2 linked regions of the Arabidopsis thaliana genome follow. The protein of the gene in region 1 purifies or fractionates together with the protein of each later gene. This does not show direct contact. Each region holds a gene or a part of one and is shown in the gene's direction. Other genes may lie near its edges. The genes, in order: ICK1 and CYCD2;1.

Evidence for each region.
Region 2: the proteins of ICK1 (region 1) and CYCD2;1 purify together in Arabidopsis thaliana (affinity purification with western blotting, with the first as the bait; one study listed by BioGRID). This does not show direct contact.

The regions. Positions count from the first base shown.
Region 1 is NC_003071.7:9,970,669-9,987,465, reverse strand, and holds ICK1 (Cyclin-dependent kinase inhibitor family protein), read left to right. Parts: upstream 1-9,375; 5' UTR 9,376-9,544; coding exon 9,545-9,742; intron 9,743-9,835; coding exon 9,836-9,879; intron 9,880-9,997; coding exon 9,998-10,264; intron 10,265-10,379; coding exon 10,380-10,446; 3' UTR 10,447-10,876; downstream 10,877-16,797. Other genes in the region: AT2G23445 (uncharacterized protein), read right to left, coding at 959-1,281, 1,473-1,533; AT2G23440 (uncharacterized protein), read right to left, coding at 7,736-7,984; NAPRT2 (nicotinate phosphoribosyltransferase 2), read right to left, coding at 12,557-12,634, 12,713-12,825, 12,902-13,010, 13,094-13,192, 13,278-13,412, 13,496-13,670, 13,776-13,834, 13,925-14,041 and 7 more. UniProt on the Arabidopsis thaliana protein: Binds and inhibits CYCD2-1/CDKA-1 kinase complex activity. Regulates cell division which is crucial for plant growth, development and morphogenesis. Functions in turning cells from a mitotic to an endoreplicating cell cycle mode.
Region 2 is NC_003071.7:9,546,493-9,563,790, reverse strand, and holds CYCD2;1 (Cyclin D2;1), read left to right. Parts: upstream 1-7,645; 5' UTR 7,646-7,917; coding exon 7,918-8,235; intron 8,236-8,475; coding exon 8,476-8,562; intron 8,563-8,644; coding exon 8,645-8,743; intron 8,744-8,845; coding exon 8,846-9,041; intron 9,042-9,158; coding exon 9,159-9,286; intron 9,287-9,373; coding exon 9,374-9,634; 3' UTR 9,635-9,988; downstream 9,989-17,298. Other genes in the region: UCP5 (uncoupling protein 5), read left to right, coding at 1-260; PFK5 (phosphofructokinase 5), read right to left, coding at 15,377-15,544, 15,683-15,811, 15,917-15,997, 16,100-16,204, 16,280-16,396, 16,488-16,628, 16,749-16,823, 16,903-17,004 and 2 more.

The DNA.
Region 1 (16,797 bases):
AATAATCTTGCTTAAATACGAAAATAAAGCCCAGTGAATCCTAAACTACTATCCCACACCTTTGATCTATCAACTAGGACCGGTCCTGAACGGTGTGCCTGCATTTTTAAGATTCTCTATGTTTATTTTTTATAATTTTCTCCTTAACTTTAAGGTTTTTTTAGATATATTTTTTGATTACTCGAGTTAGATATTTATATGCTTTTGAGTTTTGATACACGCCCTTCCTTTTGTGGTTCCTATCAAAGATTATTGCACACAATCAATCATCTTGAGTTGTGTTAACCTTTTTTATTTTCGTGGATGTTGATTCTTCAATATTGCCTGTATATATACCTAATCAATTACCATTTATCATAATCCAAGGGATGATGCATGCAAGATATTTTCTTATTAATTAATTAATAAATGATAAAACAAATATCTATTTGGTACTTGTAACACAGTACTTAGTTAACCCAATGAAATTTACGTACTATAAACTTTACTTAATTAGCCTAACTAAGTGCCTAATTCTAACACTAGACACTAGTTGTACACGTTACAGGTACGTCAAGAAAATATATCGGACGCATATAAAGTTAATGTAGCTGCAATATTAACGCAAATTTTGAAACCTGTAAAATAGATGATTCTTATAAAGATCATCTCCCAAGAGCATAAATATTTACCAAAAAACAAGAGTATAAAATAATTTATTTTTTTATTTGTTAATTGTTATTCTGTTTGGCTATGATATATATATTAGAACCGCAAGATAACAATGGAAACATAAATTACGAAGCGACAACCATTATTAAGAGACCAAACCAAATTATACTATTTACAATATGAGAAAACAGCATGACTCATGCATAACTGAATTAGGTCTCCAAAGTGAACAACCTTTGGTTGATGGAACAATGTAGGCAAGGGAAAAAGAGTAGGAGAAATCCAGATTAATAAATTCAATTTTCTATCAGGTCTTGATCAAGTGGCCAACACCAGGGCTGTGACCTGGTTCAGTAGACCGGAAAGCATTGAGACCATAAATATCCTTGCTCCTCCTCGTCTTGATGCTTCCTTGAAGCTCCTCTGGGGGAGTGTCCTTGTGATGGTGCTGCTGCTGCTGATGATGATGATGATGATGATGGTGATGGCTTGAACGTTTCTTACATGAATAATCTTCTGAGTGATGACACCTAAAACGGCTACCTTGCGCCTCGTCGATGAGTTCGCAGAAAAGGAGTACTATAGTAAGGAAAAGGTAAATTACACGACGTGTCTTTGCCATATCCAAAACTACAAATATATAAAAATAAGGTTTAAAAGTCTTTGATCGTGAGTAGTAGCAATATATATGATATATGTGTATTATGAAAGGTTTAATAATGATTTAGAGTTTGAGGTTGAATCTGTGGCTATTTAAAGACAAAGTGGACTTAAACGATTGATTCCGATGTTTCTAAGTTATTGATGGAAAACGACCGTACCTTTACTGTTCGTGGAGCATGCAAGACCCCATGATTGTAATCTAGGACTTATAATATACATAAATACTTTATTCTCGTACCATTTAACTTTGGAAAATTGTTGTTAGTATATATATGATTTTTATTTGAATGACATATTGTTCTTAGTTATTCCATGTGAATCTAGATGTGGGTTTAAGCAGAGTATTTGATGCCTATAGATGGTTTTATATTAAAAATATATTATTTGTCTTCTTCACCGCAAATTTTGCATGACCATAACAAAAATATGCTAGAGCTTAAAAGCTTTTCGGGGTGACATTTTTGTTCGTATATAACGTTTCTTTTTTTCTCTTTAAAAAACAAGAGTTTTAATTGTTTGAGAAAAGAAAAAATTGTTTGGGATTCTTTGTCTTATTATCTGTTTCTTACAGTACTTTTTTTCCTTTTCCTCCTTTTTTTGGTTCAAACTTTCATTATACACTCTCTCGGCTACCAAAGCTTAAGGCGGTGATTAAAGTTAAGAATTGTAGAGTTAAGATTAAAGTTAACTCTAGATTATAGAATTTGGAAGTTACTAATAAAATTTAAAGATATTATTTGAACAAAATATAAAAAGAAAACATGGGTTAGAGACCTATTTTGCCCCTTTAACAGAGAGAATGCGACCTACACCATATTTTCATTTTTAGTAGTAATTCATAATTTTTACTCAAAAAATTTCAGGTCTTAGGTCCATGTTCTCTGTAGCCCTTGATTTTTCCATCATCCCTGAACTTGACGGGACTTTATAGAATGAATAACTAGGAGACCAGTTAAACTATTAACACGGATAGTAATACATACTTAATATGTGAGAAATGGAAACAAAATGATACGTGAGAATATAATAATACAAAGTGAAATATTGTTTTAAGAAAGGATGAGACATAAACATGTGAAAACTGAAAAAGTAGTGGTGGTTTCGCTAGACCTATTATTTATGATATTAATTGATGGCTAATATTAATGTTCAGCCTCGCCGCAATAAAATGTTCGATATTCAGGGAAAGTTGTAAGCATTTGCATGTTAGTTTTGCCTCCCTGTCTAATATTCTCCTTTTCCTTCTTTAGCTAAACTAAAAGACTCCAAATTATTTGATTTTGACGAATTAATTTCTCATAATATGTTTTATAATAGTTATTTTTTCTTTGAAATGAAACGTTATAAATAACGTCAAGCTTTAACGAATTAATATTCCATTTAAATTATCATGTACCCACTGCCAATATTGTGCGTTACTTTGCGATCAGGAAAAGAATGTGACGCCGTCGTTTGTTTCTTTGTCTTCTACGATAAACAAAAATATCATTATTAGATCATAATAAGATCATTTGACATGGACACCTCTTTAAGAATGACACCACACAAAATGTGGCCTTCCATTGTGTATATTTGTGCTACTTTCGTCTGCATAAATTGGGATAATACATGAATCACATAGCTGAGTTATAGTGTAAATGTGGGTTAATCCAAATATTTAACATGAAAAACTTTCAATAAAAGCTTTTAAAACGTCCCAAGGTAGGTAAATCATTACCAACAATCAAATATCATCAACATGTATGAAAACTATAGTTCGATGTGATCATGATAGTATATTAGTTTGTATGTATCCGAAGAATAATCAATACAAAACTATACCATACCAAACTTTGTTAAGAACGTCGTAAGTATATCAAACAAAAAGATTTGAAAATACCATAGAATGACTTTTGAAGGGTGACAACCGTTTGTCTGGTGACAACATGTAAAGAGGGAAAGAGGTTTTCATTTTTCGGAGGTATCATCTCATTGTCTAAGCTAAGACCTCACTCTATGTATGAGTTACTGTATTTAGCGGTTCCTGTTTTCTTAAAAAGGCAACATGTTTCCACTGAAAATAATCCATTCTACACTAATTTATCCAAAAGAAAAAATCCAAAAATTACTTGCGACATAAAATGGTTTAGTTCTTTAAACTTCTAAACTTGCGCTTGTACTGAAAATATAGGTGGTCCTTGTAATGGTCTCTCTTATGGAAAGATCTCCTCTATAGCCAGTGACTCAATTTATTCTAAATTTTGAGAAAATTGTGATTCAACATGTTATATATGTCATTTTATCAAAGATATGGATTAAGTAGTGATGAGGATAATTTCTAATCTTTTGCATGGGGTTAAAGTATTGATAATAGCAACTTTGCAAACTTATGCTAAAGAGTCCAGATGATTAAATTAATTAATCTTCACAACATTTTTACTAGCAAAGCCATATTGAAATGACAGAGCAACTCCAACGTTTCGGATTGTGAGAGTTTCTAAAAAAAACAAAAAGTAATAATATTGTAATTCTATAATTATATTCTAATTATTTAATATATGCAAACGACCAATAAAATCACACATGTATCTTTATTTATAGGATTGATCCTTGATTTACGATTTTTAGAGATTCTCTCTCATCTTTCTTTTAATTTTTATTTATTTTTCTTGTTTTTAATAATTAAAGTTTCTATTAAAAAACTAGCGATGCAGTTGCTCTAACCATCCTAAACTCTAAACCTCCAACTATTTTAAATAAAATATTTTTTTTCAAGCTTTCTAATATAAACTTCGTTGATTACCACTTGAAATTCCACCAAAAATTTGCAATCATAATTCGTAAATTTTGATGTGATGGTTTTGGAAATTATAAAACAAGACATCATATAAGTTGGTATGGCTAAAGCTATAGTTTTTATTACATAAATTAGTGAGGCTCATAGGCATGAGACTTGATAAAAATTTGTAAAGAAATAAGCATCAGGTTATAGTCTATTGGATCTTGCATACGGTCGCTGTCCCCTATTGCTTCTTTCAATCGTTTTGGGCCTTTTGTCTTCTCTTTATTATTTTAGACAAAAAACAACAAGTTAATACCATTCTCTTCTCTACAATGAATCTTAAAAAAAAAAATCCATGTAAAAGAAAACGAAACAGAAATTAACTTAATCATAATAATAACCACCCTAAACTAGTAATCAAACATATTTGGATGTAACCACACAAATGAAATAATTAAAAACACTCTCTCTATATTATAAACATATGTATGTATATGTATATATATAATAATGATATTAACAATAATAAAATGGACAATTCATAATACACCTATATATCTCATCTTAGTGTGGGTTTTGTTTTTTATTGGGTTTCTTCTTTTCCAGTAGGATTTATAAGTGCTATTAGGGTGTAATAAAATTGCATTTTAATTGTTTAACCGTGTGCACCTTTAGTTACACTTCATCTATTTTGAGGTGGAATCTAAACATTATTCTAATTAGCTCCTGCCTTTTTGGAAGTCCCTTGAATGGATCCCACTTTAGTTTCTGTACACCACTATTACTTAATGAAAATTTTATTCAGTAGATTAAAATCTTAATGATTATAAGAACAAACCAAAAATAAAGATAAAAAAAAGAATTAGTTGGCTACTCGAAATGAAGAGGAGGCCATAGAAGATGTTTAGTTTTTTTTTGTGAGGCACAGGGATTTCTTCCTGTTTTTTATTAAAAATAAAATGAAAAAATTACACCCGAACATTCCGAGAAACTGTAGTTCCTCGTATGTCGTCATCCACAATCAACGCCACACACGGCGGACAAGCCTTAAAAGTATGAAAGTCTAATGGCAAAGAAAAAGCATAGTTAGCTAACTCATCGACAAGACGGTTAGACTCTCTATACACGTGAGAAATACGGACTATCCAGTCCCTTGAGATAAAGCTATGGCACAACCGTACCAGGAAAGACGACGAATGAAAATCACTTATCCTTGTCTTTAGAAACCCAACCACCAACTCCGAGTCCACCTCTAACTCCAACCGTTCCACTCTCTTCCCCCAAGCAATATAGAGACCGTAATACACTCCCCATAGCTCTGCTAAAGGTGCCGAACATATACCAATATTAAGCGAGAAGATGTTTAGTTTACGATAAGCTCATGCGCCACCAAACAAACTCATAGATTTGTGCATTAAAGTTGATTTGCAAGGCTGTCGTACATCTTCTACCGTTGATTTATTAATCAAAAGAAATTAAAGTGCGAAAACATAATGTAATATTAAAGTATGTATAGTGGAATATATTTGACCCATTTTAATGATATATTTATGCATATAATACAGACTATATTATTAATACAATAATTTGTTTTGTGGGATTTTTTATTTTTACTTTGAAAATTAGTCATACAAATGTAGTTTATATATCATTTTAAAATTGTTTTGCCAGGTTACAAAACATAGATTAATATGTCATTTACTTGATCAAGGCAAGTTTATTTATTAAAACATAGATTATTGTGTCATAATTTAGTTAAGAATACTACTACTATTGACAAATATTGAACCAACAAAAAGAATTCCTGCTAATTACTAAATTATACGAACTCTGAGCGAAATGATAATCCTACTGGTTGTTGAAGCCTACGAAACATTTATAGCTGCTAGACAGAGAATCTTTTGAACACTCCGAATATCACTCACCATCATTGGACTAACGCTTTTTGGTCCAATATAAGGAGAGACCATTCAATTAATAAATCCCATGATATTTGGTTTCTTTTTGTACGGTTAGCTTTTACAAATTTATAGAGAAATACCACATGTATAGCTTACCTACCATTTCAAGCTCAAGTTGTGCATTTCTATAATAGATTAAAGGAGACTAGACCGTTTCATGTAATTTAGTAGAGCTTTATGATCTTGTAAAATTCTCGAGCCCTTAACCTTTTTTAAAATTTGTAAACTTTGTAAAATTTTGTAGTTAAGAATTTTGGTAAGGTTTTAATTTTTTGGCAAGCTCAATAGTAGTATATTAAGTTGAAGTTCTTAAAAAAAATATATTTAAAAATTAAAATATATAAAAACTTAATTATTATTGAACTCATAATATTCAATACATAGATGACATACAAAAAATTAAAACATACATGAAAACATAAAATTTAACTATTAATTTCTGCTAAAAAATTTCCATATATATTCAACCAAATCAAATTCAATTATTGATGTGCTTGTCGATTACGAATTCGAGTTCGAGTTTCCAATATATTCTCGAGATTTGAAGGCATATATGTAGAATAGGTGAAATCCACTTGTGCATTTCTAGTTGATTCCGGTTGTACAAATTCAGAGACATCAAAGTAAGTGTAAGTATCTCGTTCGTTTTCTACTATCATATTATAAATTATTATACATAGTAGAAGAATTAACGGTAAGAAAAAAAATTCGGCTTTAATATTATTCTTCCAACCAACCAAATCATGCCACGTCACCACCACATTTTACTTCAGAGGATCTCTTAGCTTAGAGGGCCTCTAAGCAAAATTGCTCAATTAACATTTAAATTTAATCATTTACAATCTAAGAATCTCCTAATATCTCCCTAATATCCCCCCTTTAATGATACTCTTAGGTTCTTGACTGTCTTAATTATTATTTTGTATGAGAATTGTAAATCAGTATTTTGGAAATATTTTTTATTTTCTTAATTTTTGAAGTAGTAGCTATAAATATATAATTTAGTTAAAAGAAATACAGATTATGTTAATGGATATACATGATTACTTTTTCGTTAATGGAAATATAGCTTCAGTTTTCGTTATTTGTCTCTAAATTCTTAACCATCTTTTACTTGGTATATTGCTTATTTCTCAAATACTAACATCCGTCTAAAACTTTTAACAAACAAACTAAAGTTTTTCAGTGACTAATATTACGTAATACAAACTTTTAGGTTTTTCTCCATGCAAAATAATGTCTGGCTCAAATTTTGAAACGCAGATATGGAATATCTGTACCAAATTATTTCAAAGATAGTTATTCGTTCTACGTACAGATTTTGAAGACATAAACAAGTAATCGAAATTGCTTCTATAGTTCTATTCCTAAATCGGTTTGTGATTAGATCGAGTTACGTATGATTCAGTTCAAGCGAATGACATATCTCGATAGAAAAATTTCTTAGTTCAAGCGAGTGACACATCTCGATAGAAAAATATATGAGAAAATTGGAACCTGATAAAAAAATGTATGTGCTTTTAAAATAAGATGGATTACATCAATCTTAATTTAATCAAATAAATATTATTACAATCACACTTGCAAGAAACTGAATATGACGAAACTGTACGTAAATACATATTCAGAAAAAAAAAGTCACCAGGCCAATCATATTTTCAACATGTAATCACATAGACGATGCTATTGTTCCTCTCCGTTAATTATGTACGGAATGTCCAATACCGGGGCTATGACCAGGTTCCGTAGGTCTGAAGGTATCAACCCCGTGGCTCGGCGGCGACTCAAGTGGCTCAGTCGGAGGTGACGACGACAATACAGAGCCACCAGCTCTGATTTCCTCAGACGTCGTTACGGTGAATTTGGTGAGTTTTCGGCCTTCAATTGAACCAACACTAATAGTCAAAAGAAAGATAAATGCAAAAACGTAAACATTAATCGTCGCCATTACTAGAAAAACCGAGACGAGAATTAGAAAAAAAAAGAAGCTAAATTATAATATTTAGTCGAAGGCGAAAATGTATTATGTATTGATGCATGAAACCTCTTGGACCATCTGATGTATTTATAGGGATGAAATTTTACATAACATGGGCGCAACACTTGAGGAGATAAATTAAATATTTAGGGGGTATTATTGGTTTATGATTTTAAAAGAACTTTAACGATTATGTAAAATCGTTTGTTATTCAATCAAGATTTTTAAAAAGTTTATTAAAGTTCTTTGTTATTAATTTAAGATTTATAAAAAGTTTTCTAATATCTTTATAAATCTAGGGTTATAGATTCATACTTTTTTGTAAAGTGAGTAAAAGTTTTATGTTATTCAATTAAAACAAAAGTCGTCTGCATGACCTTCATGTAAATTTCAGTCCCTTCTTTTGATTGAGAAACTAGGGAATTTTTTGGATTGAAAATTGCTTGGTGAGTTAAGGAGATCTAATCTTGATGCTCACTTTATTGCCAAGAGCGTAACAAAAAATGATCGCCGTTAATCGTATGTAGCAACTAGGTTTTCTTTTTGGTTAAAACAACTTTTTGAGGAAGAAAAAAATGCCTAGTGTAATACTGGTTGATCTAGAATGATTGTCCTTGATCCACATTTTTTTGTATGTTTGGTTGGAAATTATGAAGTATATATTTATCTTTCAGTGAAAAAAAAAATATTTTTAATTTTTAAAGCAAGACATGGTAATTTGAATGCACTCGCCACTCCATTTTGTTCATGCTTTGAGACAAAAACAAAACATAGAAAGGCTGACAAGGCCCATGGGAAGTGATGGAGGCCAAGTTTAGTTCTTAGAAACCTTTACTATATTATGACTTATTAAGCCCAATATATCACGATCGACACGTGCTGTTGACAACTTGACATCAGGCTAAGCAAATACGCAGGGATAACAAAAATATAATTTCTAGTGTCAGTTTTACTTTTACCTTATTTTACTCACAGGTACGTAGTTTTTAGGCTATCCGTAACAATCCACCTATACTATACACATAATCTATATATAGTCTCTATCCAATTCATTTTAAAGTAATATGAACTTTCTAATTTTACCTAAACTATAAAATTCATCCCAACTATACAAAAAGCTTGTCAATTATAATTTAAAACATTTTAAACGGTTTCGCGTAATGGCAAATCTGTGAATTACCAATAGATGAGAGGGTTTTTAAAATAGTTAGTTACACCACAATTATTACGCCTCCCGTTCCGTTAAGTCACCGTTTATAACCGACACGTGTCAATAAAACAAACCATCGGCATAAGTAACTCCATAACATCCAAATAACGGCGCCTCCAGTTTCCCCGTTAAAGATTCCCCGTCACTGTAACGGGACCACTAAAACACGCCATTTCTCTATCACACACAGCACAAAACTCAATCCTGACCGTTCAAAACCAAATTCATCATCTTTCTTTCTTCTTCTTCCTCATCCTCTCAATCATATCTCTCTCTCTCACAGAGATTGTGACTTCACGCACACGTAACCTAAATCGAAGATGGTGAGAAAATATAGAAAAGCTAAAGGAATTGTAGAAGCTGGAGTTTCGTCAACGTATATGCAGCTACGGAGCCGGAGAATTGTTTATGTTAGATCGGAAAAATCAAGCTCTGTCTCCGTCGTCGGTGATAATGGAGTTTCGTCGTCTTGTAGTGGAAGCAATGAATATAAGAAGAAAGAATTAATACATCTGGAGGTTATTTAATGTTGTTGATTCTAGATTCTTGTAACTGTATATGTATCATTTAATGTTAATGTATTTTTTTTTGAAATTTTGAAATTTTTGTAGGAGGAAGATAAAGATGGTGACACTGAAACGTCGACGTATCGACGGTGAGTGTTAAAAAAAAAACTGAAAATGATTTGAATTTTGAAGGTTTTATTATTTTCCCGGTTATTTATTTGACTCTCTCTTCAATAAATTTAGAATCTTGCTTGTGAGTTATTTTAGGGGTACGAAGAGGAAGCTTTTTGAAAATCTGAGAGAGGAGGAGAAAGAAGAATTAAGTAAATCCATGGAGAATTATTCATCGGAATTTGAATCGGCGGTTAAAGAATCGTTAGATTGTTGTTGTAGCGGGAGGAAAACGATGGAGGAGACGGTGACGGCGGAGGAGGAGGAGAAGGCGAAATTGATGACGGAGATGCCAACGGAATCGGAAATTGAAGATTTTTTTGTGGAAGCTGAGAAACAACTCAAAGAAAAATTCAAGAAGAAGTAAGTTTTTATTTTATTTTGTGAGTTTGATTTTTATAGATAATATATTTTTTATTCATAATTTAAAATTGATTTTGAGGTAAAATTAAGAGTGAGTTTATTTTTTTTTAATTAGGTACAATTTCGATTTCGAGAAGGAGAAGCCATTAGAAGGACGTTACGAATGGGTAAAGTTAGAGTGAAGAAGAAGAAGAAGTTTATGGTTTTTTTTTTAACTTTTTAGATTTTAATATTTCAGGGAATAAGTTAATTTTATTTTGTTGATTTGGAAATATAAGATTTGTAGGAGGAATGTTTTTAGAAGTACGAAATTGCACAGAAAAAGAAGAAAGCTTTTTAACAGATTTTAGAGCCCAGAAAAGTCGTGTCTTTTAGCTCTACTTTTACCTCTTCTTCGAATCTTGTGTATCTTTTAGCATATTCTTTAGTACATTTTTATGTTTTTGGTGACTGATAAAATTCTATCCCCACACAGGTACAACCACACTCATTTTTTTGTCTTCTCCGTTTTAATAATATTCAACCAAAAACATCAAATGCATTTTGGTAGATTATCTTACCGCCCTAAACGCTTAAAATTATTTTAGAATTTTATTTCTTACAACGTTTGATATGGATTAAAAAGTACTATGAAATTAGTTATTATTGTTCTACTACTTAAATTAACTAATCGACAATTTCAGTGCAGTTTTTTGTTGAACAAAATCGTACCAACCATGTCAGCTAACCACACCAACTAATTTTTTTGTTTCATATTCAGCACCGAATATGATTGAGCTCGACCAATCAGAATTTCAAGATGATTCTGTTATTCTTAAAGTTTATTGATTAATAACAAATCACAAACATTCTATCACACGAAACTTGGTTTGAAACTTTTCAAAATTTTAATTATAATAATACTAGCATATAATAAAACTTTAGATCTGTAAAGGGCATACTGTACTGGCCCAATGGTTAGAGAATTTTGAGATAATGCCATAAATACATTATTCCAAATGATGCAGGACCATTTTGTAACTAGACAAATTATCCGAAGACTTGGAAACAAAACTCTTTCATGGACCATTTCAGAAAATCTTCAAAACAAATGATCATGGACCATTTTGTATATGTAAGCTTAATTCAGATCACAAACAGGTTAAATGAGGGACTCAAATAAACAAAAACAATTCTTTCATCGAGGGCTGTTTTATTTTCGTGATATTGTTAAGGGAAACTTAAAGATATGTTTGGAATGGCCAAGTCAACTAAATTAACTATTTTTTAAGAAGTCAAACTAAACTTTAGGATTTAAATGACATTTGAAAAGTTCATGTTTTTTTCGTCAACAATATGAAAGTTCATGTTTTCTCAACATTTTTTTCTTTAATCAATCTATTAATTTTCACTAAAGAATTGTTGTTTTGAAAATATGAACGGAGCCAAAAAAAAAAAGAGTATTGGTCCCGACCAGTTTTGTGTATACTATGTGTTTCTTTTATATCAACAAATTTAACTTTCATCCAAGAAAACCCACGCCCATATCGAGTGCCCTGCCCTCGAAGCCATGGCTATTTGGAGACCATAAGAATTCAAAGTTACACTTGTATAACTCTGTTGTATAAGACCAAAACTATCACTTGTTTTTAACCTCAATTTGGATGGATTATCGTCTTGTCATTTTTAGTCATCTTGTATTCTTGTTAAGTGATTTTTCGTTAAGTAATGGTTTCCTTATATTCCATATTTTTTTTTACTGTTTGGTAAGTTTCTGTAATAAAGTTTTACTCCTCATTTACTCTGTTGTATTTTTCTATTCTCATATTCCATAATTCATCTTTTTGGAAATGAATTTTGAATATGTGGTTAGTGACTAGGTCCACCCCAAACGTCCTAGTAACGCCTAAAGAAGTTTTTGAAGAAAGGTAATGTTCTTCAAATCTCTGCTAGAAAAAACTCAATTAACTCAACTGCTTACCAATCCGTTTGCAACAGTAAGTTGTCAACCATATGACGAAACTAAACCTGATCCAAAATCGTTGACTTGAGTAAATGTTTTTACAGTCTCCAGTATGTTTACAGCTGTAAATATAAAATCTTATTGAATCAGTTGAAAACAAAGTTCCAGTGAACGCAGAGAGTTTCTTTCCTCAGTAAGAAAATGAAACTTACTACGACAATGAGAGATCATCAAAATGTTGTAAGAAAAAGAAACTAAAAGTGAAAAAAATGCATATTTGTGATGCTGTGGTATATAAATTATATACATTACACCAAACCAAAACCAGATTCTTCTTTTTGGTTGTTCTGTCACTGCAATTCACCAACAGGTGCTTCGTTTAGCCATAAGAAGTGGATGAAATCGTACAGCTTTGCGCTTACACTAACCTGTAAACCATGAGAGAAAAAAACATTTACACAGATTTCTCAGAAACTGAAAAACATGTTTGTCGGATAAAACCATACCTTATAAGGAGTTGGGTTTAATCTCCTCATATGATCAGGTCGCATGTTTTCGAGCTGTTTGATGCAACGGTCTCTTATCTCTTTCAAAGGCGGTAATACTTCTCTTGCTTCATCTTCATTGGTATAGAGAAACAATAATCAGTGAAAAGCATTGTCATTAATAACTCTACGGTACCGGAAAATCTTTACCTGCACTTCCACGCCAATAACATTTGAGGAGCTCTTCGACACGTTGTGGCACTACATATGCTCTTTTGGATTCGTTGAATGGGTGACGACAAAGTAAACGCTCACCAACCTTTGATATCAAGAAAGATATTATGTAAAAATGCAATAAGGTAATGAGATTAAAATCTTTGAGAGAGTTATCTTTCGTTTTACCTTTGGAGGTGGTTCGTTCTCTCCAGTCATTATATCTACCAGAGGGTAACCTTCTTTGCCGTATAATCTGTAACTTCGCTTTTTACACGGTATTGATACCTAAACGAATCAGAATGATAATCAGATTAAGTGCAATGTGACATTGAATGTTCAGAACACCAAGAGAGAGAGAGAGAGTTTTAACCTTTGTAACATCTTCAGAAAGTTTAATCCGAGGCTGATTGTTTATCTCCACAAGTTTGAAAACGCAACCTAAGGCCGCTTGTGAATAGCAAGTGACCAAGTAGGTCCCGATGCCAAAAGCATCCACCTCATGTCCCTATAGAGATGAAAGAAAAAACACTGCTTAATAATAATCAATCTTTCGGGGGCATGGCATTTGAGAGTGGGTTAGGGAGTCACCTGTTTATTTAAAGCGTCAATCGTCTCTTCATTTAGATCATTACTAGCAGTGACGACCATCTTCCCAAAACCAGGCACTTTTAGTTCTCTCTCTACCGTGCAGAAGAAATTTCTGGCCTCTCTAGATAGATAAGCTAAATCACCTGAATCCAGTCTAATACCTAATGCTTTATATCTGCGCAGCACAATAAACATCAATTGCATCTCAAATTCCATATGATCCTGAAGAAGTACAAAGTCAAGTCAGACGATCGGGTATTGATAAGAGATTCTTACACACCCAAAGTCATTGAGTGCTAAAGCAACTGCACAGAAGTTAGGGATTCCACTCTTCATCACCTGTAAAACAGTCAGCAAAACACTAATATAAGAGTTTATTAGAAATCCTAAGGCTCAAATGAGCTATCTACTATGGTGTTTAATGCTCACATCGTATGTATCTACGAGGGCAAGAAAAGTTTTGGGGAATGCCAGTGCATATGAGGTGAAAGCTGCTAGCTCGCTTTGATTTGTCTCAGAGAAAATGCCACTTAGAGATGGTGAATACTGTCATCCACAAAGAAACAAAACATAAGAAAAACTGTGACAAAGATTCAAGCAAAGGGTTGAAGCAGAAATAGAACAATGGTCCTGAGACTAGAAAACAGGAAGAGGAAGAGCAAAATGTGCAATAAACAAACCTGAATCTTTTTTAACCATGTCTGAACATGACTAACAAAATCCTCGCACGTGGTTTTCCCATCAGCACTACGAAGTACTTTGTCAACAATCTCATCAGTACTCTGCAATCCAAAGTTAACTAATTATATCGAAAATGCTTTTGTGATATTGTTATGAGCGAGGATATTAAGTGTGCATCAGAACCATGGCTAATAAAGTTATAGCAACAAAGGCATTGACAAGAATATCTTATTTTCACGAAACTTTGTGTTATCGTCTCTACTAGCTAACTCAAGTATGTAACCTCCACATAAAAATTGAAACTTTTGGCTGAAGTGAACTGACCATGAATGAGCTAACATAAGCATGAGAGTGTGTTCCACGAAGAGGAATCCCAAAAAGTTTTCCAGCTGCTACATTACTGTCATTGGCAAAATACCCAACAACACAAAACACATCATTTCCACATTCCCTTTCACCTACTTCCAGATCAACAAAAACAAAAAGCAAGACTTGCCTTGTTGCATCAAAACCTCCAAGGTAGCAATATTTTGATGCGCTTATTGCACCATCCGGACCCTAAGATTCCAACACTAATAACATCAGACAGAGATGGAAAGAACAACACAAAAGGCAATATATCAAAAAACAAGAGAGAGATTTATAGGAAACCTGAGCCCTTCGAGCACCAAACTCGAGTAGACTCTTAGATTTTCCGGCAACAAAGCGATGCCTAGCTGCGTTAGTAGCTACCAAAGATGCAAAATTGACAAGATTGAGGAATGGAGTTTCCAACAATTGAACAACCTATGGAGATTTTACAACAACTGATGAATCATTCATTCAAGAAAACTATTCCTTAAACAATCTTCACAAATGAAAGAGACAAAGAGACTCACACCAACAGGTCCTTCAACTCTCATGAGAGGTACTTTAGGAAAAACAACTGATCCTTCCGGAATTGCATAAACTTCAACATCAGAACAATCAAGCCCTCTAAGATAATCACAAAAAGCTTCCTAATTTGAATCACAAACATAAAACCCTGATTTAAAAATCCAAACTTTAATCAATAACAATCTAAAAACAAACAGATTTTTGATATACCTCAGATCCAGGCAAACACTCTTGAACGAAATCGATTTCTTCATCAGTCAATTTGAAATTGGCTAAGAACTTAACACACTCTTCTAATCCAGCAAACACAGTGTACTCACCACCAAATGGGTTCTTACGAAAATACAGATCGAAACTGAAAAGGAAACAAAAACAATTTCAAATATACAAAACCATTCAGAATTCAACATCAAAAGCAGAGCATGAGAAGAGATTGTGTGTTGTACACGGATCGTTCGTTGTGTTTGCCAGCTTTCCAATAAGCATAAGCCATGGTGAATTGATAAAGATCATTGAGTAAAGGTGTGACCATTGGATTCGTTGGTCCGTCAATGATCTTCTGACCCAATTCTGAGCCGTTCTCTTTCGGCTCCATTGTCGTCGCTTCCAATTTGTGTGGAACAATTGGCTTCGTATGAGTGAGTGTGTGTGTGATTACGAGAGAGTGAATGGACGAGGAACACTGGTTCTTGGTTGTTTATATTGGAGTGGTCAAAGGAAAAAGAAAAAAACAAGTGTGTTTAAAGAAAGAGACGACGACCACCACACAAAGCAAAACTTGCTTTGAACTTGACCTAGTCTTTCTTTAAGAGCCTTTATTGGTTTCTAATTATTTCTCATTTTAGAGTTTAGACTAAAACGAGGTTTAATTTTCGTGGTTGTTGGCTCTTAGATTATTGGAATTTTCACGTTTAAAAGAATTTTATGTGTTGAAAATTGGCATATGGTAGCCAAATTCAACTAATTATAATAATTACTCAGAAAAATTTACATATTGGTATTGGTAACAAATAACAATATCTTGTATCTCTAATAAATTAATGAAAAGAGTTTAGCTGTTTTAATCTAAAAAACTTAAATTACAGAGGCGGGGAATTTTTTCATTTCAAATACATTTTTTTGGTGTGATTTATTTCACATACATAATTCGGAAAACTTGTATAGCGTAAATCTATTGATTAATAATGGTACACACTTGCTGTGTTATGATATATTTGTGTATTTAATGATTTTAGTTTATTGACTATTTTTAATGTGCAATATTAATGATTTTTAGCTCTTTTGCAATCAAATATGCAGTATGATATTTGATTAGTAGTAAATATTTACATTTCACATATATGTTATAGTATTTGATGAATATTGTACTTATAATATATAATATTTGTTAACATTAAAATAGAAAAGGTTAATGTAGATTAATACATCTTAAAACTTCAGTTTCTTAAAATATATAAATATTGTAAAAATGTTCAGATGCTTATTATGGAAAAACAAAACAAAACAGAATTGCATAACACCAAAAATTTTAAACATGATTATGAAAAAATCAATCCAAATTTAGGTACATTTATTTATCAAAGTTTAATTTTACATCAAACAATAGTATCTAAAATGAATTAAAATGAACTCAAACTTAAGACTAAACATAAGATTGTCCCAACTTGGTTTTTGAAGCCATATCGCATATGGCCTAACCATATTCATGGTCTCTTTTATTTGTCAGTGTCATGATATGAGTATCA
Region 2 (17,298 bases), 420 kb from region 1:
CGGCGGGGTTTGTTGCGAGCGTTGCGAGTAATCCTGTTGATGTGATTAAGACGAGAGTGATGAATATGAAGGTGGTGGCTGGAGTTGCTCCGCCGTATAAAGGAGCGGTTGATTGTGCTTTGAAAACGGTGAAAGCGGAAGGGATTATGTCTTTGTATAAAGGTTTTATCCCGACGGTTTCGAGACAAGCACCGTTCACGGTGGTTTTGTTTGTTACGCTTGAACAAGTTAAGAAGTTGTTCAAGGACTATGACTTTTGAAAAAAACAAGAGTTGAATTATGTTGAAGAAGATGAATGATGGTGGCGACAATAAGCTTCTCTTTTTTTCTGGTTATAATTTTCTTTTGATTATTTGAGTAGTTTTAAATTGTTTCCCATTTGTTGGAATAGATCTATGATATGATAATTCTTCTCATGGAGAAGAAAGAAAGAAAGAAACAGTTCATTTGATTCATTATTCAAGGCAGTGAAATACTTAGATTCGTTTATGTTAATTTTGAACTATGTAATATTCGTTTCTTTTTCTTGAAAGCTTTATTTTTAGTCAAAAAAAGATGATGCTTTACAAAGATTTTTTGGAAAGATTGAAGATCTTTGATAAAAAATCTTCGGTAATCAATGTTCAAGAAAAGAAAGCACCACACCACCGAATTTCGCATCAATTATTTAGATATATTTATGTTAAGTTTGAACTATGTAATATTCCTTCTTTTTTTCCTTCCGGAAACTGTTTTTCATTCAAAGATGAATTCTTTTTACATAGAGCTGAAATTCAAAGTAATAAATGTTCAAGAAAGCATTAGACCACGACCACCCAGGGGCGGACTCACGTTGTGATTGGTGGGGGCAACTGCCACCAGCAAAATATAAATAGTTGATGATATTTGTATAGAAATATTGTATGTAAGGTAGGAAAGTGGTAAGGAATGCCCCCACTAAAACCAAGAGGTCATAGCTTCAAACCCTTTTAGCAACATTTTGCCCCCATTAAATATTTCTTCTGGATCCGCCCTGAGACCACCTAATTTTACACCTTTTTCTTAGCAACAAAAAACTTCATATATCACTAAGCATGTTTGAATAGGTTGGTCTTATATGCAAACCACTCTCAAACCTGAGCTTAGATGGGAAAATATAGAAGTTCAAGAGAGAAACAGTCGGCGTGAACATTATTGTTCCTAGAGATATGATAAATCGAAAAGAATCTAAAACGGAAACGTATAAGATTAAAAGAATCAAGTTCTGTGGCAAATGCATGCCATGGTTCTTCATCATCTATGGCTTTTACTAACTTTGCAATCCGTTTCAACATGAAACGAATTCAGACTGTATTGTATCACGCTTCCGTAGTACATGAAGAGCACTTAACTCAGAGTGGAGAAGTGCAAATATATACAGTAATACAGAATACCTTGTCTGGCCTGTTTGTACACAATATTTAGTATTTGCCGACATATTTTATTTCCACCCAAAGCTATTGTTCAAGATATATTTGCTACGGTGGAAGTTAAAGAGTACAGTCCAGATAAATCGATATAAAAATTGGACTATAGGTATTTTTACATGGATTTTTTTACCTATAGAAAAAAAAAATGAAACTGAATTTAAGAAACCCCGATTCTTTTGAAAATCGTATAAACCATGGTATTATATCAAATCGTATAAAACAGTTGATATGAAATATATATAGATATATATTATTTATCATTGCTTGTTATATATATGGATTATTACTATGTCTTTACTGAATCCTCATACGACGAGATAAATGATTTTTAATTAGATGAAAGTTTCATGAAACTTTGGACATGTTCAAATTATTCTATAAATTAATTTCGAAGGACCTTTCCTAGCTATATATATATATATCAAAGATCAATAATAGACATGTATCAAGCTGTAGACAATGAAATATCGCAAAACGTTAAGATTACATCAGGTCAACCAAAAAGTTTCATTAAAAAAAAAGAGAGACAAAATCAAGAATCAGTAACAAGCACCCACGTGTTATTGAGATGGCTTTAGTTTCACACATACGTTACTATGTAGAATCTTCTTTCAGCATCATAAACTAAAAGCGCGTCTACGAGAACGCACTTTCCACACGTTTACCGACTCAAACCTAATTCCTCTTTTAAGTCATCAGAATCAGATTCGATCAACTCATTCGTTGCGTTGATATGGATTGTTCTCTTCTTACGGACATAAACGATTCTTTCAAAACTCTTGCTTTGTTGGAGTAATGTTTAGTAACGATTCTTTCAAAACTCTCAGCAAACATAAACTTTTGGTAACGATAAAGAACTAACACCAAATTGGGAAAAGAATCACACCAACTGTTTGAATTGGATACGAAACCATATAAAGCAGATGAACATAATAGACAAATTTTGATTATGTTACCCTATAAGAATAAGGGCAAGAGGATTTACACTTTGAAGTTGAATTTGAGTTTTACTAGATTAACATTGATTTATATATCATGGTTGATTCTTTTTGTAAAAAGTTTAAACCAAAATATAACTCCAAACTTGAATTTTATATATCTATTAAATTGACCAAGATAATTTCTAGGCAAATATTTGTAGGACGAACTACAATGATAATAGACATAGACAATACAAACATACAAGATCAGAGTAATAACAAATCACATTGTTATGGAATTTACCAAAATGTTACAAACCAATATCTATCAAAATCAAAACCAACAACCAGTCACTAACAGAATAACAACAAAAAATTGATGTTGAAAATTCTCATCTCGAACGGAATGCCGACGTCTTCGCTAGTGGACATGTCCACACTACACAATCAAAGCAATACCGTTCCATGTCTTTCTTTAAGATTATAGGTGATACAACATAATGAGCAGCAACATAGCAGAATCATCAAGAGTAATGAGTCAACGAAATTTCCAATCATCACTCATCAAAAATATAGAGACTATATTTACTAATAAGTGATGACGAGAAAGCTCAGCTGACTTCTTGAAATACTTTCGAAGATTCAACTATATTACTCTCATTCTTATTTATAATCATATAGACCGGGATTGGTAACTCTAAATCAATTACCTATATCAATAGCAAAATTCACAACAAAAGAAAAATTAACAGCAAAATTATTCGTAAAAAGTGAATTTTAGAGAAGCAGCTTTTTTTAGTTGCTCAGTTAACCGCTCAGGTCGACATTATAGTCGCTGACTCATTAAGCACAATGCTTTCAAAAAATATTTTTGCTCATCCTTGCAACAAAACAAAACAAAACATAGAACTAAGCAAGTAATGAAACATCTAAAGCAGAAAGAGTAAATCTTTGTCTTAAAATGAGATAAGTATGGTTGCTCAGCTAACCGCTCAGGTTCGACTATTTTGTCGACCGTTCATGAAGTGTAAACACTTTCAATTTCATTATAAGATCTCATCATTGCAACCATAACTAAGCAAGAAATTCACAAAAACCCCTTAAATCTAGAATAGAGAGAACACGAGACTACGTACTAAGCAGGAGTGCAGGACCAATTCAACATTCCCTAGAACCTCGAGACAGTATCTGATACATCTATAGATTACCTTTACATATATACTAACGGAGATTAGGGTTTCAAAAAACCAGGACACAAAATTGAGTGAACCATAAAGCAGAGAAAAAAATAGGGTTTTTCAGTTTTCGCCGGATCTCTCTTGTCGTCTTTAAGATGAGATATTTATATAGAGGAAGACTCTAGGGTTTTAGTTGTTTGGGCTCTGAGTTTCTTACTATTTGAGATAATTAAAAGGCCCAGATAATATTTATGGGCTTTTGATTGGACTGAGTTCTATTGATCAATCATTTCGAATATGGTGGGTAGGCGTAAAATGGGCTACAGTTTCTCTGTCGGATGAAGGACATCACATAATCATGAAAATAACTTTTGTATTGCGATTTTGAAGATGAACAAGCAGCGTTTCGTGACATAAGAATACCTAAGAAATAGTAAACTTGAATGTTGTCTTAATAAACTTTCCAGTTGTTAGACCATTTTCAGTAGGGATTTCTCATAAGAGTTTCTCACAATTAAATAAATAAAAATAATAAAAATAAAGGAGAGAGTGTATAGAAAGTTTCTCAAATGAAAAACTCTAAGATACTCTCTACAACCAATCATGACATTTCTCTTTTCACTATTGGTTCAATTTTTTAACTAATATTTTTTTTAATCAAATAATCAAATTAGAATATAATATTAATTTTTTTTTTGAGAAACTTTGTGAGTTTCTCATTGATGAAGATGCCCTTAAATTTGAATTCAAATAGTAGTTGACTAATGGTCAACGATATTTCTGTTCGGAATAGTAAACGTCGTCGACAACATTCGTTTTTTAGTTTCTAAAACATATATAAACCCTAAGAAAAAAAAATGTATTCTAAGGTTCGTAATTATATCGTTAAAGGACGTTTACTATTAGTTAACCTTTAACCGAGCTCAAATTTAACGACTTTAAAATTTATTTAGAGAAAATTAATTAGTTGGTGGTTTTATTTTAGAAAAAAAAAAGTTGGAGGTTTTTATTAGGAATTGTTTTCAATTCCAAGGTTTTATATGGAACGAAAAATATTGAAAGTTTTAGTTGGGAAAATGTTTTAAAATGGATATTTTATTTGAGATTTTTTCCTAATTATAATTATGTTGATAAGTCTTTGACTAGATGGAAAATGTAAAATAGAAGGGAAGAGGAGGCATTTTGGGTAGTTTAGCGTAATAGCCAACTAAGAGATTAGTATAGGCAATTAATCATGATTGCTCAATGAAAATCGTATATGCTTAGATCACAAAAATCCAAAGGCTTGCGCACAAATATGGAATAGCTTACAACTTTCAAAACCATAGAGTTACCAAAATGTGCCAGAAAATATTTTGGACCTTTTTGTGTTTTTATATAAAATGGAACAAGCGTGATTCTTACCCAAAGTAAAGTCAGCAATTTTGTAGTCAAGTGGTAAAGTAATTACATAGTTTAATAATCGTTGGATCCATTCTGATCTAGTAGTGGTCAAGCACATAGCTGTAGAACATAAGCGTTACACTATAACTCTAATTAATTGGAGGATCGGGCACCGAGCTGAAATCTCCGAACCTGAGCCAAAATTTCCGAATTCAACACCGAACCAAACAGTAAAATAACCAAAATTGAAAAGGAAAATATACCGAGTTTACTGATCTTAAACCGAACTCGAACTATAGAAAACCTAATCAAACTAACCAAATTACATTAAAAAAAACTATTATTTAGTTCACTATGTTCAATGTTTAACTTAGTATGCTATAGATCTAAGTAAGATAAACAATTTTGCAGAAGAAATAGATTGCAAAAACTCAAATATTTAACATGAATCATTAGCTAGTTACATGGATTGAGGAGTCCACTATAACCCATTAAACTATTCTTAATAGCTCTATTTCATTTGATTGTTGAATCTCGTTTTATTTGCTTGTTGTTAAACTCTATTGTTTTACTCGACTGTTGAACTCGACTTGCTTGCGTCTGATCATTTATGCTTCTTTGATTTTGAGTTGAAGTATGTGTTCCTGGTCTTTAGTGCTTTATTGATTTGTGTTCCTTGTTTTTCTTTAGTACTGGTAATCTTGCATTTTCTTTAGTTTATTGTTTTGTTTACTTTTGGTCTTTAGTTTCAATTGATATGCATGCTGCTTCATTGCTTAGTTGTTTAGTTCTTTACATTCTCCTTAGTATAGTTGCATTTGAATTTGGTATTGCATGTTAATCTATTGTTTAAGTTCAATAGAAACCCAAACCTTATCATATTTGACTTGACTTGACTTAAATAATTGTTGTTTATGTCTTGAATATTTGCAATCACACAAAGGATTGGATTGATACCCTTCTATGCTGCAATGATATTGATATGCTTAGTAGGGAATTCATAGATCATTGAGATAGTAAAGTATAAAATGGTTCTCTGAGACAAATTTTTGGCCTTGGTTATAAAGAACAAACTGTTTAGTATTGCTGAGATGTGGCATGTAGTTGTTATAGGCTCTCTGATTCTGAATGTAATTTATCTATTCAGTTTGAGAAGTCTCTCCTTCTTGGATTTAGAAGTATTTTTCTTTAGTAATATAGTGGGATGGCCTCAGTTGAGATAATAAAAGCGTGTCCAAACGAAACTGATAGTTTTGATTCCAAATGGAGATTATTTTCTAGAACCTAAAAACCCCAAAACAAAAAAAAAATCCGGAAATAAAGTTGTTTAGTAATTTTTCTTCAGTGACTTCCACTCCTTAGATAATCAATATCGTAATTGTTGTCATTGTTACTAGAAAACACATAAAATAATTTCCAAAATTTATATGTTAAGTAATATGTTGGAAACCCTAAAATCTGATGTTTGCTTGAGCTCATATCGCAACTTGTACGTTTACGTGAAGTCTAATCCACATCTGACTACTGCTAAAGTTAGTTTATCCTATTTAGTTTCTTCTGTAGTGGGGATATAATTTTCATAATCGTGACCGCTTCATAACAATGTCGAATGGGCCAAATCCGCGAACACTTCACCTAGTTAAAAGTTAAAAACCTAATAAAGGTGAGTTACATTACCTAAATCTTGATTTGAACTAAGCAATTTTCATGCTATGCGGGTTAGATTTCTAAAATTATTAGATCATTTATTAGCAAATATCTTTTGTATCAGATTACTTTGCCATATAACTAGGTGTTTAAGAATAGAGGAAGGATGTGAACACATGTTGAAAATGATGTCTAAACGATCGAATCCAAATTAACACTTATAAATCGATCCGGAAAATCATGAAAATGAAAAGAAATGTATAGTGTTAGTTAAACTGTAATTAACTTAAACATGACAAAATATTTTATATAAGTGAAGTTACTAAATGATTCGTCTTAATAGAAACATAGCCTTAGCTATATATTTTTTTCCTTAGGTTGGATGTTTCCACAACTCCGCATTTCATATTTTGTTTCTAAGGTTATGTGGTGGTAGTCCGATGTTTTAGGTCAAGTTTTGGTCGATGGTTCTTCTTTCTATCTTTGACATTTTCTTTTCTTGGCTTTCAATCAGTCTTTCATATCTACTACAGCGGTAAAAACAGTTGGGCGTCTTTAAGTTTATTCTACTCTAGTTCAAAATCATAAGTGATTGAGATCTTATTAGTTATTGTTTTTTCGGTTTATATCTCGACGTTACCGATGTTGGCGAATAGCACAAGGTTCCCTAACCTTAACCTCAAAAGAAAGATCCACTAAATAGAAGTAAATAAAGCATATGATTCAATTTCAGAAGTTTACAAAACACTAAACAAGAACATGAAAACCAAAAAATAGTGAATTGTCTTCTTTTTTGGGAATAGTATCTCTGGAGATTTCAACATTTATGACCAACTTATTTTTTTGGAATACTTTTTTTTTATCGTTGACTTTATGTAATTTCTAAATTTTACTATGACAATTTTTTTTTTTTTTTTTTTTTTGTCGTTTTTACTATGACAATTTAAATTTAGTTTATAAGGACTTGTGATATTAAACTATTAATAACAATATGATTTAAATTTTAAATATAATTTATATTTCCACATATTGTTCTTAGTGTATATTCTCTGTATTTTCCATTTCGAGTCTGTGGAGTGGTCTCTCCCCTCTCTACCCTAAAACACACTCACCCACTTTCCTCTGTATAAGCCTCTCTCTCCTCTCTCTTCTCCTCTGCCATGAAAATCGCAGTTCCTCAAGACAAAACCTCCTCAGAAATCTCCCATCTTTGATGACTTTTGCTTCCTTAGTTTTCACTTTCTTGTCCGAACGCTCTCAAAAACTTTGAGACCACCCCAATAAACGAATTAAACAGACTATTATCAATCAATACACAACACAACAATCAAACCAAACCCCATGGCTGAGAATCTTGCTTGTGGTGAAACCAGCGAGTCATGGATCATTGACAACGACGATGATGATATCAACTATGGCGGCGGATTTACGAACGAGATTGATTACAATCACCAACTTTTTGCTAAAGACGACAACTTTGGCGGCAACGGATCAATTCCGATGATGGGTTCTTCTTCATCGTCCTTGAGTGAAGACAGAATCAAAGAGATGTTGGTGAGAGAGATTGAGTTTTGCCCTGGAACTGATTATGTTAAGAGATTGCTTTCTGGTGATTTGGATTTGTCTGTTCGAAACCAAGCTCTTGATTGGATTCTAAAGGTATGTGATTTCTTCTTTTGATTGCTTTGATCTGTGTTGTGTTTTAAGACAAACCTCAAATCTGGTTTGGTCTCTTTTTGTGCTTTGTGATTGAGTTTAAGTGTGTTCTTTGATCAGTTTGATAGCTCATTCATTCTCTGATGTATTTATTATAGATTAATTGAATCTTCTCTATAGATTGAGGTATTGATCTTGTTGAGTAATTGAGTTCTTTTGTCTTTAATGCCAATTGTTCTACAGGTTTGTGCTCATTACCATTTTGGACATCTGTGCATATGCCTATCCATGAACTACTTGGATCGGTTCTTAACATCCTATGAATTGCCGGTAAGTTGCATCGTCTTTGCGGATTGGTTTCATCGTATTCGAGACAATACGATGACCGGTTTGTGTGTTTTCGATTGCGTAGAAAGACAAGGATTGGGCTGCTCAGTTACTAGCTGTGTCTTGCTTATCATTAGCATCCAAAATGGAAGAAACTGATGTGCCTCACATTGTTGATTTACAGGTGCAACTTACATTTAGTCCTTAATAGCTTCAGTCTTCTTACGAAGAGTCGAAAATCGAGGTTTTAGTGGAACTAATCTTGAAATGTTGTTCCTATGAGCAGGTGGAAGATCCCAAGTTTGTTTTTGAGGCCAAAACAATAAAAAGGATGGAGCTTTTGGTTGTCACCACTTTGAATTGGAGATTGCAAGCTCTAACTCCATTCTCCTTCATTGATTATTTCGTTGACAAGATCAGTGGTCACGTGTCGGAGAATTTGATCTATAGATCGTCAAGATTCATCTTAAACACCACCAAAGGTGCGTCATTTATTGATCAGAAGCAAGCTATAACAACATTCTTTCTTTATTTGCAACTAACTTGGCTTTGTTTAATGAGGAAGGCTGATACGTTTCTGTTTATAAAATTGAATGCAGCAATTGAATTCTTAGACTTCAGGCCTTCTGAGATAGCTGCAGCTGCTGCAGTGTCTGTTTCCATTTCAGGAGAAACAGAATGCATTGATGAGGAAAAGGCACTGTCTAGTCTCATATATGTAAAACAGGTAATTAACATTCGGTATGATAGCGAAAGACTTAAACCTTTACTGTTTCAAGAACACACATTTCATCTGATCATTGTCTTCCTTTAGCAGGAGAGGGTGAAGAGATGTTTGAATCTGATGAGAAGTCTCACTGGGGAGGAGAATGTGCGGGGAACTAGTTTATCGCAGGAGCAGGCGCGAGTTGCGGTAAGAGCTGTACCTGCAAGTCCAGTTGGAGTGTTGGAAGCAACATGTTTGAGCTATAGGAGTGAAGAGAGAACAGTTGAGTCATGTACAAATTCCTCACAGAGTAGTCCAGACAACAACAACAACAACAACAACAGCAACAAGAGGAGGAGAAAACAATGAGAGAGAATAAAAGAGTCATACATTGCTTTTTACAACCCAAAACCACAAGTACTCATGACATTTGAGGTTCTTATTTATTTTTTTGGTTTTTTTTTTCTACATAAATTTTCTTTTTCTTTCTTTGATTTCTCATTTTCAATCTGAAAATTGGATTGAATATGAGAGTTTTGTGAGAAAGGAAAAAAGAAAATAAGAGAGAGAGAGAGAGCTCTTTGGAAGGCGGCAAAATTAATAAGTCATTATTGATGATGATGAGAGACATCCCTGTTCTTGCTCCAAGGGACTTTTTTTTTTCTACATAATGTCAGAGATATAATTAAAAAAAAAAGAAATAGAAAGAGAATTAATTTTATGATTTTTGTGTCCTCAAATATGCACTATAGTATATATCTTTTATTTTAACATATGTCAGAAGTTATAAAGTATCATATAATGCAGTAGAGATTATTTTAAATTTATATTAAAAAAAACTTTTATCACAGAAAAATCTATATTCTCTCCATTTTACAAAAAATTTGTTGTTCCTATAAATATGCATATATCATGTTAAAAAAAACTGTTGTTCCGATAAATTTTTATCACATAAAAATCTATATTTTCTCCATTATCGGAACATACAATTTTTTCTAAACTGTTCTAAATCACATCGTAGTGACATGAGATTACATTTTTGTGAATGTAGTATTGAATTGGAACACTGTAAATATTGATGACTCTAGTACCTATAATTTAAATTCAAATTATTTAGAAGCTTTTCAACAATTAAGTAAGATATTCCTAAATATTTTCAACAATTAAGTAAGACATTTCCAAAAAAAATTTAAAAATAATACTAAATTTGTGCTATTTGTGGAACATTCGAAAACATGTGATATTTTTTTTGAAACTAAACTTATTTTTGCCCTTAAATATATTCAAGTTCTTACTATTCTCAAGAACTTCTAGTTATAAAAAGAAGTACAATTGACATTATTTAAAATTAAAATAATTTCTAAAACGATATACAAGAGAATTTATTTTTAAAAACCCTTACTATTTACCTGGTTACTGGTTAGTAACTTATTACATATTAATACAACCCTTGAATTTTATGTATTTTTACTATTATCTTTGCTTTGAAAAAAAATATCTAATTTTCCCAACAACAAAAATACTTAATTGGTTTAAAAGACAATTGCATGTTTTGGGGATTGGAGAAGAGAAAACCACAATGGGCCCCGAAAAGAGTTTAGTGGGCCCATTTATTTTTGTTTTGACTGTGCGACCGGTCAACATCTCTCTCTATCTCTCTCCTCGTGTCTGAGAAAACAGAAAAAATAATAATCTCTGAGCATAAGAAACCTTGGGAATCTACTGCCTTCTTTTCGCTTATTTATGCACATAAATAATATATTTCTATATTCTTTTGTTGTTTTGTATTTAACTATTTATATATTCTGATGCAGCTCAATATTATTATAAGCAATTAATATAGCTAAACGTGATTACCACCCATTTACGAACATAACTCCAAAGTACTTAAGTTAAGTTCATCTAAAACAACATTTTTACTTCTAGTTTTAATATTCAACAAATAATAATACTATACCAATATTTTTATTTAATTAGTGTGATTGAGTTATTTAAACGGCGATTTTGTTGTTGTTTTATTTGTAAACTTTAAGTGTGTTAATTTAAGTTTTATGGATATAAAAGAAACAAGATTTAGTTAATAAAAATTGAATCTTAGATCTTAGATCGAGAATGGTGTAAAACGAGATGAGCATCTTCTTGGGGGTTTCAAATATGTATATGCATGTTTGTGTGTAAAATTTAATTTATTCTTCCATTATGACAACTTTTTTAAAAAGGTTAAAAAAAATTTTAACACTATGCATGCTGGCGGAGAAATATTTTGATATGAATATTACAAACAAAATTAAAACTACTCATCTAAAAAAGGTTATAACATAAAAATATAGATGCAAGTTTTTGGAATTTCTTTACTCGTCTCTTTTCGTAACATGTATACTTGTGGATCTGTGTGTGGTGTGTTCTTTAGTGTGTGTCTAGCAACCTAATTCAGCGATTTACAAATAGCTGTTTTTAACTCAAAATATAAAACTAATAATAGTTTACAAGTGAAAGACAAAGAGTTGGGAGTCCCGCATCCGTTAATAAGAAAAATAATACTTTTCTATCGTTGTGGTAGCTCATGCGCTACCTCCAAAACAACAAGGCAAACATAATATACGTAAATACATAATAAATTGGAGAAAAATATATGATTTTTCATCTATCCAAATAAATAGAAAGTATGATATGTCAAACTACTACTACTAATAAAAATTACAGTGACTAATAAAGTATATGAATCTAACCATATACAAGTTATTTTATCTAATTTTCTATATACAAATGCCAAAGTGTTAATCATGAGTACTAAATCCGTTAACCTTAAAATTAGAATTTTAAATCAAATTAGCACGATAAACTTGTTTTGATTGATAACAATAACGGAAACGAATCTAGTTTAACATAACATCGTGATTTCAGACAACTTTTTAACTTTAGTGTTTGGAATATTTATACATATCGGTAATATCTATAAACTATATACGAATATATAAGTTCCAAGTGTACATGTAAGTTGGTATATGCGGCATGCCTGGTCTTTTTTTCTCAATATACAATTAACTAACTATTTCGTCATTTCAGATTTTGTTAAATATTCTCAAACACACAAGACACTGTACTTTTTTCTTATCAGTTATCTAATATTAATTTTCGTCAGCTTATATTATGGAAATGGAATCCATGATAGCATATTATGCTTTGTTTTTTTAAGAAAATAATACAGGATAAGATATAAAACTACACGTTTAAGCCATAAGGTAGTTATTTTATGTCATGTTTTAAAAACAACACAGGAACTTTTACTATTAGTTCAAAATTAGACATCTAATTAATGTTAACAAGAAGGATTTTGGTTCTCGCAAACATTAATTACACACGTAATGGTAATTATTTTATTCTTATCTTATGTAATCTCATCAACTTTTGATCATCCACACTTGTAGATTTAAGATTCTCTGTATAATGATTTATATTATTCTTAAAACTTTAAATTATACCAAACATAGAAAAGCTCAAAAAGAGAAAAAGTAAAATGGGGGAAAAAGGGTAAAAAGAAAAGAACAAGGGTCAACATGTAAAAAGTGAAAAGTGTGGGGGAGAGTGCATTTTGAGGGAGTCATAAAAGTGTGGGGAACCTTTCGAACTTACTTGCATAGTTTTCATCTTCTCTTTAGTTAGCCTTCACTTTCTTGCTTCTCGTTTTTTAGTCACAGTTATAATTATTCTTTTCGTAAAATTTAGTACTCAACAATAAGAATTATTTAAATTAAGTGAAACGACTGAGAATTTAGCTCTATAAAGAAAAATGAGAGTAGAATGATATCTAGTTATTGAGATTTCAATAATTATAATTTATATGAAATTTCAATCTTTAATCTCGCATACACAAACTCTGAATCATTTAGAAATTTGTTACCAGTGAAGATAATTAAAAAGGAAAAACCAAAAAAAAAACAAGAAGGGATGAATTACCTAAAAACAGGTAAAAAATGAAAGATCATACAAGTTAAGAACCACAAATACAATACTATATACTTTTTGTAGTTTCCAATAGGTCTAGGCATTCAGATTTTCGAATCGTATTATCCGAAATATCCTAAATAGCCAAATTATCCAAAATCTATCCGATCAAACATAAAATTATAATATGTAATGAATTGTTTTGGAGTAGCGGATACCCGATCGGATTTTGGATATCTGATATGACTCGAATTTAACAGGTCAACCTGATTTTACTAAGAGCACCTCCAACGGGAGGTTTTATTGGAAAAAAGTTGAGTCTCTCTTGTTTAAAGTGAATAAATAAATTAAAATACAGAATAAGTTAGAGAATCGGCTTTCTCGACAGAGTTTTTGGAAGCTGAGAGAGTCCCATACGTGGCGCATCGTGGTTGGCTCTTTTAGTTTTAACAAAAGCAAACAAAAATATTCTCCTCTCTCTACTTCTCTCTTCTCCAATTGAACTTTCTGAAGCAAAGATTTTTGCTTATCTTATCTGAATCTTCGTCGCTAATCTGATATAAATTTGAAGATATGATCAAAGCCACCATGGATCTTGGTTGCCTGGATTTGGGATGTCTTTCTGACAAGAAAAGCGGCGTCGGAGTTTCCAATCTAATGGATTTTGTTTTCCCGTCTGATGTCTTCCAGTGACATTGAATTGAGTTTCTTCCTGTTCACTAGAAAAATTAGGGTTGGTAATTTAGGCTCTCGTATAGGGGAATTGAAAATGGCAGTTCCGGAATAGTGAAGCTGTTGTTTGGTGTTGTTTAGGAGGTTGTGAGATAGGAAGATGATTAAGCTTTGATTGATTTAGTTGTTTACATGATCTGCTTTTGTCGCAATGCCATCGTATTAGTTGGAAAATCTAGCTAACCACCTGGCTAAATTAGTTCATCCATCATGCTTCAATATGTTTTCTCTACTGGAAATATGAATCTAAAGTTTGTATGTTATGTATGGAATCTTACCAGTTTTTTTTGTTTTGTTTTGGACTCCTTCTTTCTTAGCATTCTTTGATTCCTTCTTCTCCCTCATATGGGGATTTTACATTTACGTTCTGTGGCAGACCCACTACATGCTATGACTTGCAAAATTGCAGAAGAAAAAATATACTGTTGGAGTCAAAGAGTTGCAAAGGGTATGGATCCTTGTTTATCCTAAGCTTTTTTTCCTGTAAAATTTATAAATGGAGATGATTGTTTAAGTTGTAACATTGAGACCTAGGTAGTATAGTTTCCACTTAAATCTCCATCGTTTTCTTTTGAAAGCTGTCTAAGTGGATACTCTGGATACTAATTTTCGTTAGAAAAATCACTAGAGATGGGTTCGTTTGGTTGTTTCATAAAATACTGCAAAACAATAATTTTGATACCAGTTTTCTGCTAACTTCATGTAGCTATGTTTCATGGCCATTATATATGTCTCGAACAAAAGAGAAAAGTTTTTTTGTGTCCAATTCAATGCATTCATTTGTTCTAGTAAATTTCACTTGTGGTGAATCTCTTTTCTAATAAAGTTTTAGCTAAGTTTCCTGAGCTTAATTTTGCTGACTTTTGATCAATGTAGTTAATCAAGGCAATTCTTTCAACATGAAAGTTTAGAGAGACTACCACTAGAGAGATTACCATTGGACTCTTAAAAATTAACAAAAACAAAACATAAGCTCTCTTCTAATAATTTGACAAAAAAAATATTAAATAATTGTAGAGAGTCCATGGGGAGGCTCTCACCATTGAAGATGGCCTAAGTAACCAAAACCGGTTCGGATCGATTTGGATCGTATTTTTTAGATTATATGCACTTTCCAGTTTGAATTGTAAGAGAGGCGTGAACAGAGAGATTAAGGAGAGAAAGTTGAAGGAAGAGACAAAGAACAATTAAAAGAACAAAAGTGGCCCTAAGGAACACATTTTAACTCTACCAAAGTTTTGTAATTGATAAATAACTTCACTATTTGCACACACACAAAAAAAAAGATAAATAACTTCAATGACTTTCCTACTAAAATTAAATAAATAATATGATTTGATACATCATAACAAGGAACCAAGAATGCTACTGTCTATACATTTCAAGGCTTATTTTTATCATCAGTTTGTTTCGTGATTGAATAATAATATCTTTTTAGATGAAATCGGGTTGGCCCGTTGATGTCAAGCAACGATGCCACATTCGACTATTAGGATCCACTGATTTTGGATATGCAATTACCTCAGTGATTGGCAAATATGCATAGTGAGTGTTGATTATGCCTACCGTGATTCCACTGTATCCAGCAAACGCACCATGAACCTGTTTTTTATAAGATCATAAGCTTAACAAATTCAATGGACTTAAAACAAATCGGAACATTTTTAGTTTCTACTTCTAAGATTCTTATCTAAAGTGATGAGAGAGTGACTTGAAGAGATGTGTGTGTGAGTGACTTACAGCGTTTTGTCCAAGAACGGTGCAGAGGATACCATCCGAGGCATTTGCACGTACAGCGCGAATCATGTATGTTGGATCAATATACTTCACATCTATTGGAGTACTTATTTCTTTGAAATACTTCTTAGTCTATTCGACAAAACAAGAAGAAGATAGATTGTCAAATCATAAAGAAGCAACAAAGTTTACACTATGGAAATCTCAAGTCTCAACCAAATGTTGCTTATATCTAACCTCTTGTTGAATATACACACCGAAATCACCAAGTACGGCGTTTCCAGATGCATCTTTGGCATTGGTTTTCTCAAGAAAATTCTGAAACAACATGCCAAGAAAATGTAAACAAAGATATAACTTCTGGACAAAGAACTCAAGTAGAGGAAATAGCTCCTTAATTTGGGGTTGAATTATAGTTACCTGTCCAGCTCCTTCTGCTACACAGATCACAGCAGAGCCTTTTGTTTCAATAAGGTACTTCAAATGCTTCAATACACCATTAGGCCCATGAAGATTGAAGGGAACCTTTAGATGCATAGGATCTCTTAGAGCGAGCTCATCAATCATGTTTTGGAATTTGAAATAATAACAAAGAAGTACCTCAGGAATCAAACAGATGTCGACTTGTCCACTTGCTAGAGAGGCTTGCATAGCAATGAAACCACTGTTACGACCCATCAGTTTTACAACGCCAATGCCATGATAAGCACTATGTGCCTAATACAGAAGGCCCAAATAGCAATGGTTAAGTACTTAAAGCAAAGAGACATGTTAGTGAATATCCTAAATGAGAGTACATGAAAGTTACCTCAATGTAAGCAGAGTTAATTGCTCGTTGAGCTTCTTCAACAGCAGTATCAAACCCAAAAGTTTTATCCATATGTAAAATATCATTGTCGATGGTTTTTGGCACACCAACTACAGCTACCTTTATCTTTCTTTTGCGGCACTAGAATTGAAAGCAAGAATGTGAATGGTAAATCAAACTAGACAAACTAAAGAAAAAGAAAAAGAAAAAATATCTTCACACGAACTACACTTAGTTAGTTTCAAGTGTTAAGTAACGAACCTCATTGTGTATAGCGTTGGCGCCAGCATGAGTTCCGTTTCCACCGAGCACGAAAAGCATGTTGATTCCTCTCTCCTAAGTAAATTCAATTTTCAGAATTCAGAATCTGTGATCTCATAAAGTTCCTTAAGGACTGAAAAAAACTAAATGATACCTCCATGCTGTCGACAATTTCACTCACACTCGGGCCTCCACGTGAAACTCCAAGCAAACTTCCTCCAGATAAATGAATATTCTGAACCACTTTCCTTGATAACTGAAAGCACAAAAAAGCAAACCATAAGCCAAAACAGAAACAGAGATTCGGGTTCCTTTTTCTCGAAAGAGCACAATCGAACAATACCGGCATTTCAGTTAGATCTTTATCAGAGAAGCCTCGATAACCGAAAGGAATCCCCACAATGTTCTTAACACCATAAATCTCAAGAGTAATGACAATCTGCAATGTATCCATACAACACAACAATCAAAGGTCTTTAGTAGGACTTCACACACACACACACACTGTTTCTATAATGCCAAAGTTTCAGATACAAACTCACATGTCTGA